Linked DNA regions of Drosophila melanogaster. The protein of the gene in region 2 interacts with the protein of the main gene of each other region in a pairwise test. Each region holds a gene or a part of one and is shown on either strand. Other genes may lie near its edges.

Evidence for each region.
Region 1: the proteins of sol (region 2) and Chd64 interact in a two-hybrid assay, tested with the Drosophila melanogaster proteins (one large-scale study listed by BioGRID).

Annotation. Positions count from the first base shown.
Region 1 is NT_037436.4:4,119,385-4,124,126, forward strand, and holds the start of Chd64 (Chd64), read right to left. Parts: upstream 3,005-4,742; 5' UTR 2,826-3,004; coding exon 2,772-2,825; intron 1-2,771.
Region 2 is NC_004354.4:21,348,503-21,353,326, reverse strand, and holds the start of sol (small optic lobes), read right to left. Parts: upstream 3,048-4,824; 5' UTR 2,719-3,047; coding exon 2,477-2,718; intron 1,693-2,476; exon of another isoform or gene 1,566-1,692; coding exon of another isoform or gene 1,561-1,565; intron 1,468-1,560; coding exon 842-1,467; intron 575-841; coding exon 1-574. Other genes in the region: peng (penguin), read left to right, coding at 3,576-4,021, 4,623-4,824. UniProt on the Drosophila melanogaster protein: Has a role in eye development. Calcium-regulated non-lysosomal thiol-protease.

The DNA of each region.
Region 1 (4,742 bases), on a different chromosome or scaffold from region 2:
ATTATTCACTATGCCACCGCCGATTTCGCTTTCTTTTGCGATTCGAATGCGTCATGATCCATGACAATTGCTGACCGATATCTTTTGGGTGGATAAATAAATGGGAAAATGACAAAAATTCCACAACGATAACATAAACAAAATCCGCAAAAATGTAACGAGGTCAATTGCGTACATACATATATGATTTTTGAGTCTGGTTTACGAGCGACCAACTTCGACTTCAGTTGACTGAGTTGTTGTATGGGCCCCCATCGAGTGCCTTTTTCGGAGGGATTTGGACAGGGGGCAGAATTTCATTCCATTTTCATTTGTCGAGGTGTTTTCGGCACTGGCAGTAGTTTCACCGGAAATCCAAAACAGCATTTGATTTACGATAAAGCCGCTGTCGACCACCTCCCGCGACTGTTTATGGCTTATCTAAAACTAGCGGCCAACAAGTGTTAAATTTTTGGGGGAGAGGTTCGGGAATGAATACCTAGCTATACCCATCTAGGAGCACGGAGTTCATGTGGGCCAAGTGTTCCACTTACGTGTCGCCCGCACTGATAGAGATACCCGTACCTATACTGATATATAGATACAGATACAGGGAGGTGCGTGCTGCGGATGTACAAGTGTGTACACAGTGTCTTTCACATATGCACTGCTAATTGAGTGTGGATTCTTGACTCCGAAAAAGGCCAAGTGATTAGTACGTGGCCCATGTGCCGCCAATGCGGTGAGATACAGCTGCGAGCGTGGAGGGAGTTGGAAAAGAAAACAACTACAGTGCGGCTTCTTAGGGGTGAATTTCCAGAAAGGAAATAGTATCATGCTGAATCTAAGATTGCTAAACTAATATATTCAATCGTTTATGTAGTTACAAATTAGTAAACATACTTTGAGTAACTTGAGACCTTTCTGCCTCATTCCTAGAACTTTCCCGACAGCTGGTGCTACGATCCCAGGAAAGGGTTGAAAATAAAGGGGCTACGAATTCCCTGGCCGAAACTTGAGATCCATGCCAATTTGTCGGTGACTGGTCGTAAAAGTCGGAAAAAGCACACACGCAAGCACGGAGTGTAGAGAACCCATGAGACAAACAAAAATATTGCTTTCATACCTTTTTGCCTCACTTTTGTTTTGCTGTTTGCTTACGCCACATACTCAGTTTTAAGTGCTCATGTGGTGGAAAAGGTGCTGCTATCGCCTCTACCTCCTGTCACCCCCAAAAACTCAAAACCCGAACCCGAATCCCCCTCAGAAGATATGAGTGACTCCCAGCGAGCGGCAAAAGTGCTCAAACTAACAACGCCTTCGAGTTGAATGGATCGCGAAGGGATCGAGGAGCACCAGTGGAGGGACAGCTGAAGGAATGACATCATCGCCTTCGGCTCCTGGGGAGCCATTCGATCGCGGCTTGGAGTCGCGCCAGCAGCTGCGCCTCCAGGCACTCGCCTCTATTTCTCTTATTTTTCTATACCCTATGCCAAGGTTCTTCCTATTCCAAGTACCAAAATGTTTTAGCTTAACATGATATGGCATAAATAAACACTACAGAGTTCTCATAATATTTTTCATAACCATAGTGCCTGATATATCACCATAAACCACGTTAAAACATACTTCATACTGTGTTTTAAAACATACTGTGTTTTAAAAATGCGCTAGTACAGATAATACCGATAAACAAGGCCTTTTGCCAAATGGCTGACTCAAGAGAATGAAATCCGGGTGGAAATACTTTTAGATAAGCAAAGCTAAAGCAAAACAAAATATTTCAGTTTGTCAACAACTTGGTAAAGTGCTCCTCAAGGGTATACAAAACTTCGGATATGAAAAATCTCGATTATTTGTTTCGTTTTTTGTTTGGGCAATGCTGTAACTGTAGTTGTCTTGTTGTGGATTTCGTCGGACTGCACTTAATCCCCTGTGCCGGCGACATATACAATTTCACTTGGGGCTGCCCAGGGGCGGTTGGAATTGCGTAACCCCGACTTGACGAGGGCCAAATGGCCGAAGGGTACGGGTAACCCATCCCCAACCCCATCCCACCCACAAAAGCCCGATGCATTTGTATGAGTGCATTTGAGGCAAAGTGCTGCTAATGGACGGAACTAATGTCAATTTACATTGCGGAAGCTACCATGCTGCAATAGTTGGGTTGAGATCATCCAAAGGGTCTTCCTTCTACAGTGGATACTCCACAAGTAGCACCTATGTATTCAGACTTGCTTTTATTGCAGCACAATTAATTAGGATTATATTAGCTCATCTTTATAATGTATACTGTTCGAACTTGGGATATTATTCATATCGAAATTTCCAGAGCTTTACTAACTACTACTAATTGTTTGATTTATGGATAACCAACTGTTTTCTCGATCTTCGATTTGAATCACCCGCACTGACAATGCCTCAAAATCACCTAAATCATCTTCAAGCTTTCGAATTACGCATGCATTACACATGTGTGTACATGCATGTATATATTCCTATATACATATGTATGTACATAAATACTTGTTCGACTTATCAGCGAAATGAGGTCATTCCTTGTTAGACGCTGGCAATTTCAAGACCATTTTTGGCTAATTTTTGGCATTTGGCGCGCGAAGATAAAATCTTGACAACGCAGCGCCAAATAAAGTCAATGCAGCTCTAAACTCACGCACACACCCGTGCAAAAGTTGATTTTTTTTTGGGCAATTTGTTTATTGTGTTGTTTTGTTTGGCGCTCTTCGGTTTTTGGGTGGGGGGTGCGGTTGTTGTTGCTATTTGGTACTTACTTTGCGCTGGGCCTCGGCGGCAAAACCAGACTTCGCTGCACGGTTGGACGCCATAGTTATTTGATGAAGAAACGGGTTTGCAGGGAGCTAAAATGTAGGTTGGTCTTGGGCTGAACTGCACCACTGTCCACTGGAATGTGTTTGCCGCGGAATAAATCGGAGGGAGCGCAAGGGTTAAGGCCAAGTTGGTTGGGCTACGTCCGTTCGCAACGAAAACTTACTACGTTATGAAAGGCGGTCCGAGCTGCGAAACAGAGGAAAGCTCGCCAACAGTTTAGTGTTGTAAAGCACACTCAGTCTTGTACCTAGTAGGTTGGGTACAACATAAAAGCTCCAAGCTGCGCTTATCAGCGGCAGCTGATTTGTTATGATGGCATTGATGATGTCATACCGCTTTGTTAACGGCAGTTGTTTTTCAAATAATAAAACATGGAACTATCGAGCACTGGAAACAATTTTACACTATATAAGTATAAATTTAAAATTTCTGGTTCATTTGCCTTCTAAACCAGTAACTTTTGTTTTCAATAGGTTTTGAAAAGATAATGAATCTGAATCAGTATGATTTCCATGATCCACCTGTTGCTTTACTTTTAATAGAAGTCAACCACTATTAGTGCTACTTTTTGCGGTTGTGTACAAACTATCCGATAAGATTCGCCAGAGTAAAGTTCCATTGAAAACTTCCTATGTTCCCCCTTATCGAGAGGTTCTTGCAGCAGCATTCCATTCAGATGACCATGACATTTTTGGGGGACTTTCTGGAAACCAAGAAGTAGCGAATCGCATTTGGATGATTGCCTTGAGAATTAGTTACAGTTTATTCACATAAATATATATTTTGTTTAATCGTATAAATTATGCAATTGTGGATTTACGATAAGAAGCGAATTTCTTTAGTGTTTCAGTGTGGTTCTAAATAAATAGGGGAATTGCTTGTATAATTTGTTGTTCTATTTGTCGTGTTTGTTTTTTTTTTTTTATGTGTGGGTTGTGATATATTTAATATTAGAAATACATAATTCAGCTTGATCTTCAAAGGTTTGTTATGTTGGTAGCATACACATTTAACTTATGTGGGCTTGTCTTTTGTTTTGATTATATCGCCATTTGGTTTATAACATAGGAAAGCAGTAATTAACTAGAAGTTAGGGCTTATTAGTTGCATACACATATTGCCATTATAATATATTATTCTATTAACGGTTTTCGCATGCGAATAATATGCCTGCTATATCTGTTTTTATAACCGATCTGCATACATCGATCATGCATCCTACTAATTGTTAAGGCCCTTTCGCTCAGATACAAGTGGGTAGTGTGTGATTTTCGTATTATATATAAATCGATTCATTTTTTACAATCTGTTATGCATGCTTCGAGGGGGACGACTCTTTAAAAAATAATCATCATAATTTATTTTTGCACATGGATAAATACAAATTACAAATATAAATGTGTATATGTATATATAAAAAATCATTTACCAAAAAATATATACGTAGACGCAAAAGAGACGCAATAATATACAGAGAACATTCCTATAATAAAGGGTGACATAAGCATAATCAGATTTGGGACTCCTACTACAAATAGTACAACATGGTAGAACTACCAGTTCCACTAGACCTAGGCATGTGTATATCAAGCACTGACATCTGTGATTACAGTGGGTGTATATATCCGCGTGTAATTGTTTTATTGTTTACAGGCTACCTATGTATCTGCTCGACTAGCTGCGAACAGTATCAGCAAATAATTTCAATTGAATTTCCTTATTTCCTCCTCTTTCCTATGTTTTTTTTTTTTCGTTTGTTTCGTTTTGTTTAAATAAATAATACCTCACGATTCGTTGGCTCAACGTATTAAACTTAACTTACAGAACAACTGTGCAAAGTTGGGCAAAAAATAAAGAGGGGGTTCGAATATGCCCTCCTAGCAGTGAGGCGCTGTAAATGTGGATGGGTTAAT
Region 2 (4,824 bases):
GCAGCAGCTGCTCTTAGTTGCTGCTGGGCCAGGGCCACGCATTCGTTCTCATACAACTTGTTGCTGCCGCTGGAGCTGCTGCTGTTGTTGTTGATGATGTTGCTGTTACCGCTGCTATTGCTATTGCTGTTGCTGTGATGGTGATGATGATGGTTGGAGCTAGAGGAGACGGAGGAGCTGCTGGCCATTGGCTCCGACCACTCGTTGACGGCTATGAAGACGCCGTTCCGCGGAATGGTGAACTGCGTGGGATTCATACTCACTGCTGCTGGCTCCCGCTGGGTTTTCCGCTGCAGCTGCTGCGGATTAGCCGGTGACTTCTGCTGCGGCTCCTGCTGTAGATTCAGATTTAGATTAACGACCTGACGCAGTGGCTTCATTTGGCCATGGCCGGCATCCTTGGCCGCCGACCGAGAGAGCGTGGTGATGGTAAAGTTGTACTTCCGCTTGGCACCGCTCTCGCGAACCACCTTGTGATTCTGGTTCTTGTTATTGTTGTTCTGTTTGCGCCTGCAAAAAGTGTCGTTGGCGATGGCAAAACGGGAGTTGCTGCAGGCGGCCACGGGGGGAATCCCTGCGAGAAACACATAGGGATTAGAATTGGATTATCGGATAACAAGTGCGTGCATTCCGGTTATGGGAAGCTAACACTTTCATCATGATCTGACTAAGATTAAGAACTTTACAAAAAGAGAATAGACTTTAAATAATTCGGTTGTCCATTTAAAGAGTTTCTTCTAGTAAAAATTTGGAAACGATAGGCTGGCCAATAAGAATACCTTATAGTTATTTCCTCAAGTAACCTTTAACCTTTCATTAGTTCGTTAGCTGATGAACGCACCTGTCAGCTGCGGCGCCGGCTTGATCTGCGGCAGATTGAAGATGTCCTTGCTCTGGTTGTTCGCATAGCAAATGTGGCAGCTGCGCCCGGAAGCGCTCTTGTCGATAGCGGTGCTCAGGCTCTGGGTGCGGCGCAGTCCAGAACCCGAGCCCGGTCCGGATCCCGATCCGGATGCAGATCTACCTTTGAGGTGGCGCTTATGCAAGTGCTGGGAATGTAACTGATGCTGATGCTGCTCCTCCAGTTCCTGGTGGAGGTAGTGGTGATGATGATGTGGATGTGAATGGTCCGCCGCCAGCAGCTCGCCGCGATTGCCCAGGCTGCCAGCCAGATCCTGGCCTCGGTCGGCGGCGATGGCGTCCTTGTAAATGGGCGCCAGATAGCTGACCGTGTCGCAGATGAGGCAGTGCCAGGTGACCGAGCTGTTGTCCGTGCCGCAGGCGTGGCACACCCACCGCCGATTCAGGGCCGGATTCGAGAAGTGGCGGTACAGCTCAATAGAGCTCTTGATGTACTTGCGCGTGTCCTCGCAATCCACGCAGTTGGCGGGCAGATTCTGGCTGTTCCGCTGTGGTCTTTTCAAGCATCCGCGCAGCAGGGACTTGTACACATGCTTGTACTCGCTCCTGCAAAATAGGGAAATGGGGTTTTTCGTTTTTCGTCGGGTTTGGATGGGATTCGGTGTTCTTGAGCTGTTTGGGCTTTCCCCACTTCCTGACCGCAAAGGTTATCTCAATGACTGGCCATTTTCCTACTCTCCGCTCGTCCGCTCGACTCGGAAGTTGTTCCTACACCTCTTTTGCTCTTCAGATCGCCGAGCGAGTTCGCGAATCGATAAACTTGTAAACAATGCTTCTTTATCCAAATCGATTTTCCCCAATTCTCGCTGCTCCTCGGCTGTTTTGTTGTTGCTTCTGCCTCTGCTGTGTATACATGCTCTCACATACACACACTCGCGCACACACACACACACACACACACACACGCTCAGGGACAATCACCAGTGCCGACGGCTTGGCTTTTAAAGCTAGACTTTTGAACTGTGTACTTGTACACACTGTACCTTTTCCTAGCCTTTCGAAACTTAAGTTCGTAATATAAAAATCTTTCAACTTATTCCTATACTCCCATTCGAGTTATTCCTATGGATAGTTAATCAGGATTTTCCTAACCGATTTCATTGTTTTCTTATTCTTTAAGTTTCATTATGCACAAAAGGGTTAGTGAGAACTATAAAATTTACTAAGATTTACTCGGTCTGCTCTTTGGATATTAAAGTTCAGCATAGGAGCTTACGTTGGTAAGCTTTTGGTATTATTATTCTTTGAAAGTTAAGGTTTTTGATTGACGAATTTTACCGATGAAAGTATGTACATATTTGTGTATTTGTATATTTTCCAAAGTGTGCATACAATGTGTGTGCGAAAAAAGTTGGATTTGAAAACGCCACCGATTTCTATACACATTACCATATGCGACATGATTTTAGCTAGCGCTTTTGTCCTCCAATTGGATGCCACCACTGGCGCCCACATACACACACACACACACGCATACAGACACAGACACACACAGGCACATCCTCGCAGAGGAGGCATACAGGCTGTTTGTTTTTGTGGCGACCGCTTCGCTTACCTGGCAACCGCCGCCCTGCCCTTCTCCTTGTCCCTCTCCTGCCCCTTCTCCGCCTGCTCCTGCTCCAGTGCATCATCAGCTGTCCAGGAGGCGGTGATGCTGCTGCTGCGATGCTGCTGCTGCTGTTGTTGGGGGAACACCTTGCGGACGGTGCCGCAATTGAAGCACTTGAGCGACTCCGTGGGATTGATAGTGTTACATTTGGTGCACGACCACTGCAGCACGGATGAGATGGTGCCCATTGCGCGGGGGAGTCGCAGGAGTTCCCAGATTCCTTTCGACTTCTGAGTTGTTTCTCTTGCTGTTGTTGTTTTTGTTGTTGTTGGCTGGCTGGCGGGGGAGTGGATGTGGAACTGGGACTGTCTATGGAAACTATGATGTGTAGGTGCGCTTTCGAGCTGGTGGCCGGGCGGAGATGGAGATCAATAGGAGGACCAGAACCCGGGACCAAAACGAGGACCAAGCAGTGGCTTCCAACAGTTGCACGCCGCGTTCTCCGTCGCCGTTTCACACCATTTTTTAACTGTTGCCGCTAGGGTTGTCGACGTTCGCGAACACCTCCAACGACAAGGTTGCCCGAGTGCGTGAACTCTGCCGGACAGGGTTGCCAGCGCGAGAAACACGGCTGCTACCCCGCAAAGCCAGTGTTGGCAAGTGCCGTTAATGAAAAATCGGTACCTTCAATTTTTAGACCAATTCTAATATGTTTTTGGGAATGAATACATACATATATTCATAAAACGACGCAAATACATGCATAAAATTATTTGACCTTCTATAACAAGTAATCAACATTGAGGAGCTTAGTTTAGGAAGAGTTTAAATTTAATATTTAGACATGGATTATTATTTTTTAGCCGCTTTCAAATGGAAAGTCAAATTGAACTGAACGCATTAACTTGAGTTAAATTTTAAACAAATAGAAGCACTTCATTGATACTTACTGTATGTGGAACGAAAATACCAGATTTTGGTATTTACACAGCTTGGGTATACTGCAACAATCTGGTCACTCTGCATCAGCAGCACGTGTAGTTCGCTTTTTTGGCAAAAACATTTGCTGTTATTTAGTTGTAGTGTCCAAGAAAACGCAGCAAAGATGGTTAGCTCGGAGCCGAAAGGACCTGCTAACGTGGCCAACACGGCCTCGCCCCTCAAGGCCCATGAATCGTCCGGCAAGCGCGCCAACGGACAGAAGTTTAAGCCCGGTGGAGCAGGAGGCGCCAGGAAGTTCGACAAATTCGGCGGAGGAGCAGGCAAGTCGTTTGTAAAGCCAGGCGCTGGTGGTGCCAAGAAGTTCGACAAGTCTGGGCCCGGTGGCTTCAAGAAGTTTGACAAATCCGGAGCCACCGGCGACAAGAGGCTTGGTGGCAACAAGTTCCGCGGAAAACCACAAACACAGCCACAGGCGCCGGCGGAGGGCGAGAAACAGGACTGGAACAAGTTCAAGAAGGAGAAGAAGGACCTCAAGCTGAAGCGCAAGAGTGCCAAGGACACCTACGAGATCAGCAAGGAGGCCAACCAGATCCACGAGAAGTTGCGATGGTGAGCATCCCCAAAAACACGATGAACAGCCCAAACAATCGGTTATTATCATCCTTAGCGCTCAAATTACCTATACAAATTATGATAGCTCAACAAAATCGGGCTCTTTCATGCACTTATGTACATTCAGAACGTACAAAGTTGTTTAAATTTCATAAGGCATCAATCTATACGATATAGTTTTAATAATTATAAGTCATTTTGGTTCCTTAAAGGACAAGATATCGATAAACATGGCCATGTGGATCCCAAAACGAAGCACCTGTTCGTGGAAAAACCGAACATTGCCACTTGGTTCGAATTCAAAAACACCAAACATTTTATTCATGTTCTTGAAACAATAATAGCTAGTTAAGCATTTTGATCAGTATCAAAACTAAGTTAATATAGCCTTGTATTTCTGTATAAATGTTGAGTTAGAACCAAGAGCGTAGATTCCAAAGACGCCTATTTAGCGCATGCTGTTTTGTTTGGTCATAAACAAACCAGCTCTATCCTCTGTCGCGTTTTTTTTTTTTTTCGTAAAATTACAACTAATGAATGCGCAAATCCTATTGCTCTGATATATATATATCAACATAATTTGGTGCTTGTCTTGCAGCCGCCGAACGGAGAACAAGGACAAGCTGGTGGAGCAGATATACAAGGTGCTCAACGTGGGCGACACTATTTCAAAGGTGGTGAAGGCCCACGACACCGCCCGCGTGATCCAGAGCATGCTAAAGTACGCGTCGCCAGCTCTGCGGGCCGAGATCTCTGAGAAGCTGCTTCCCTTCACCGTGGAGATGTGCCAGTCGAAATAC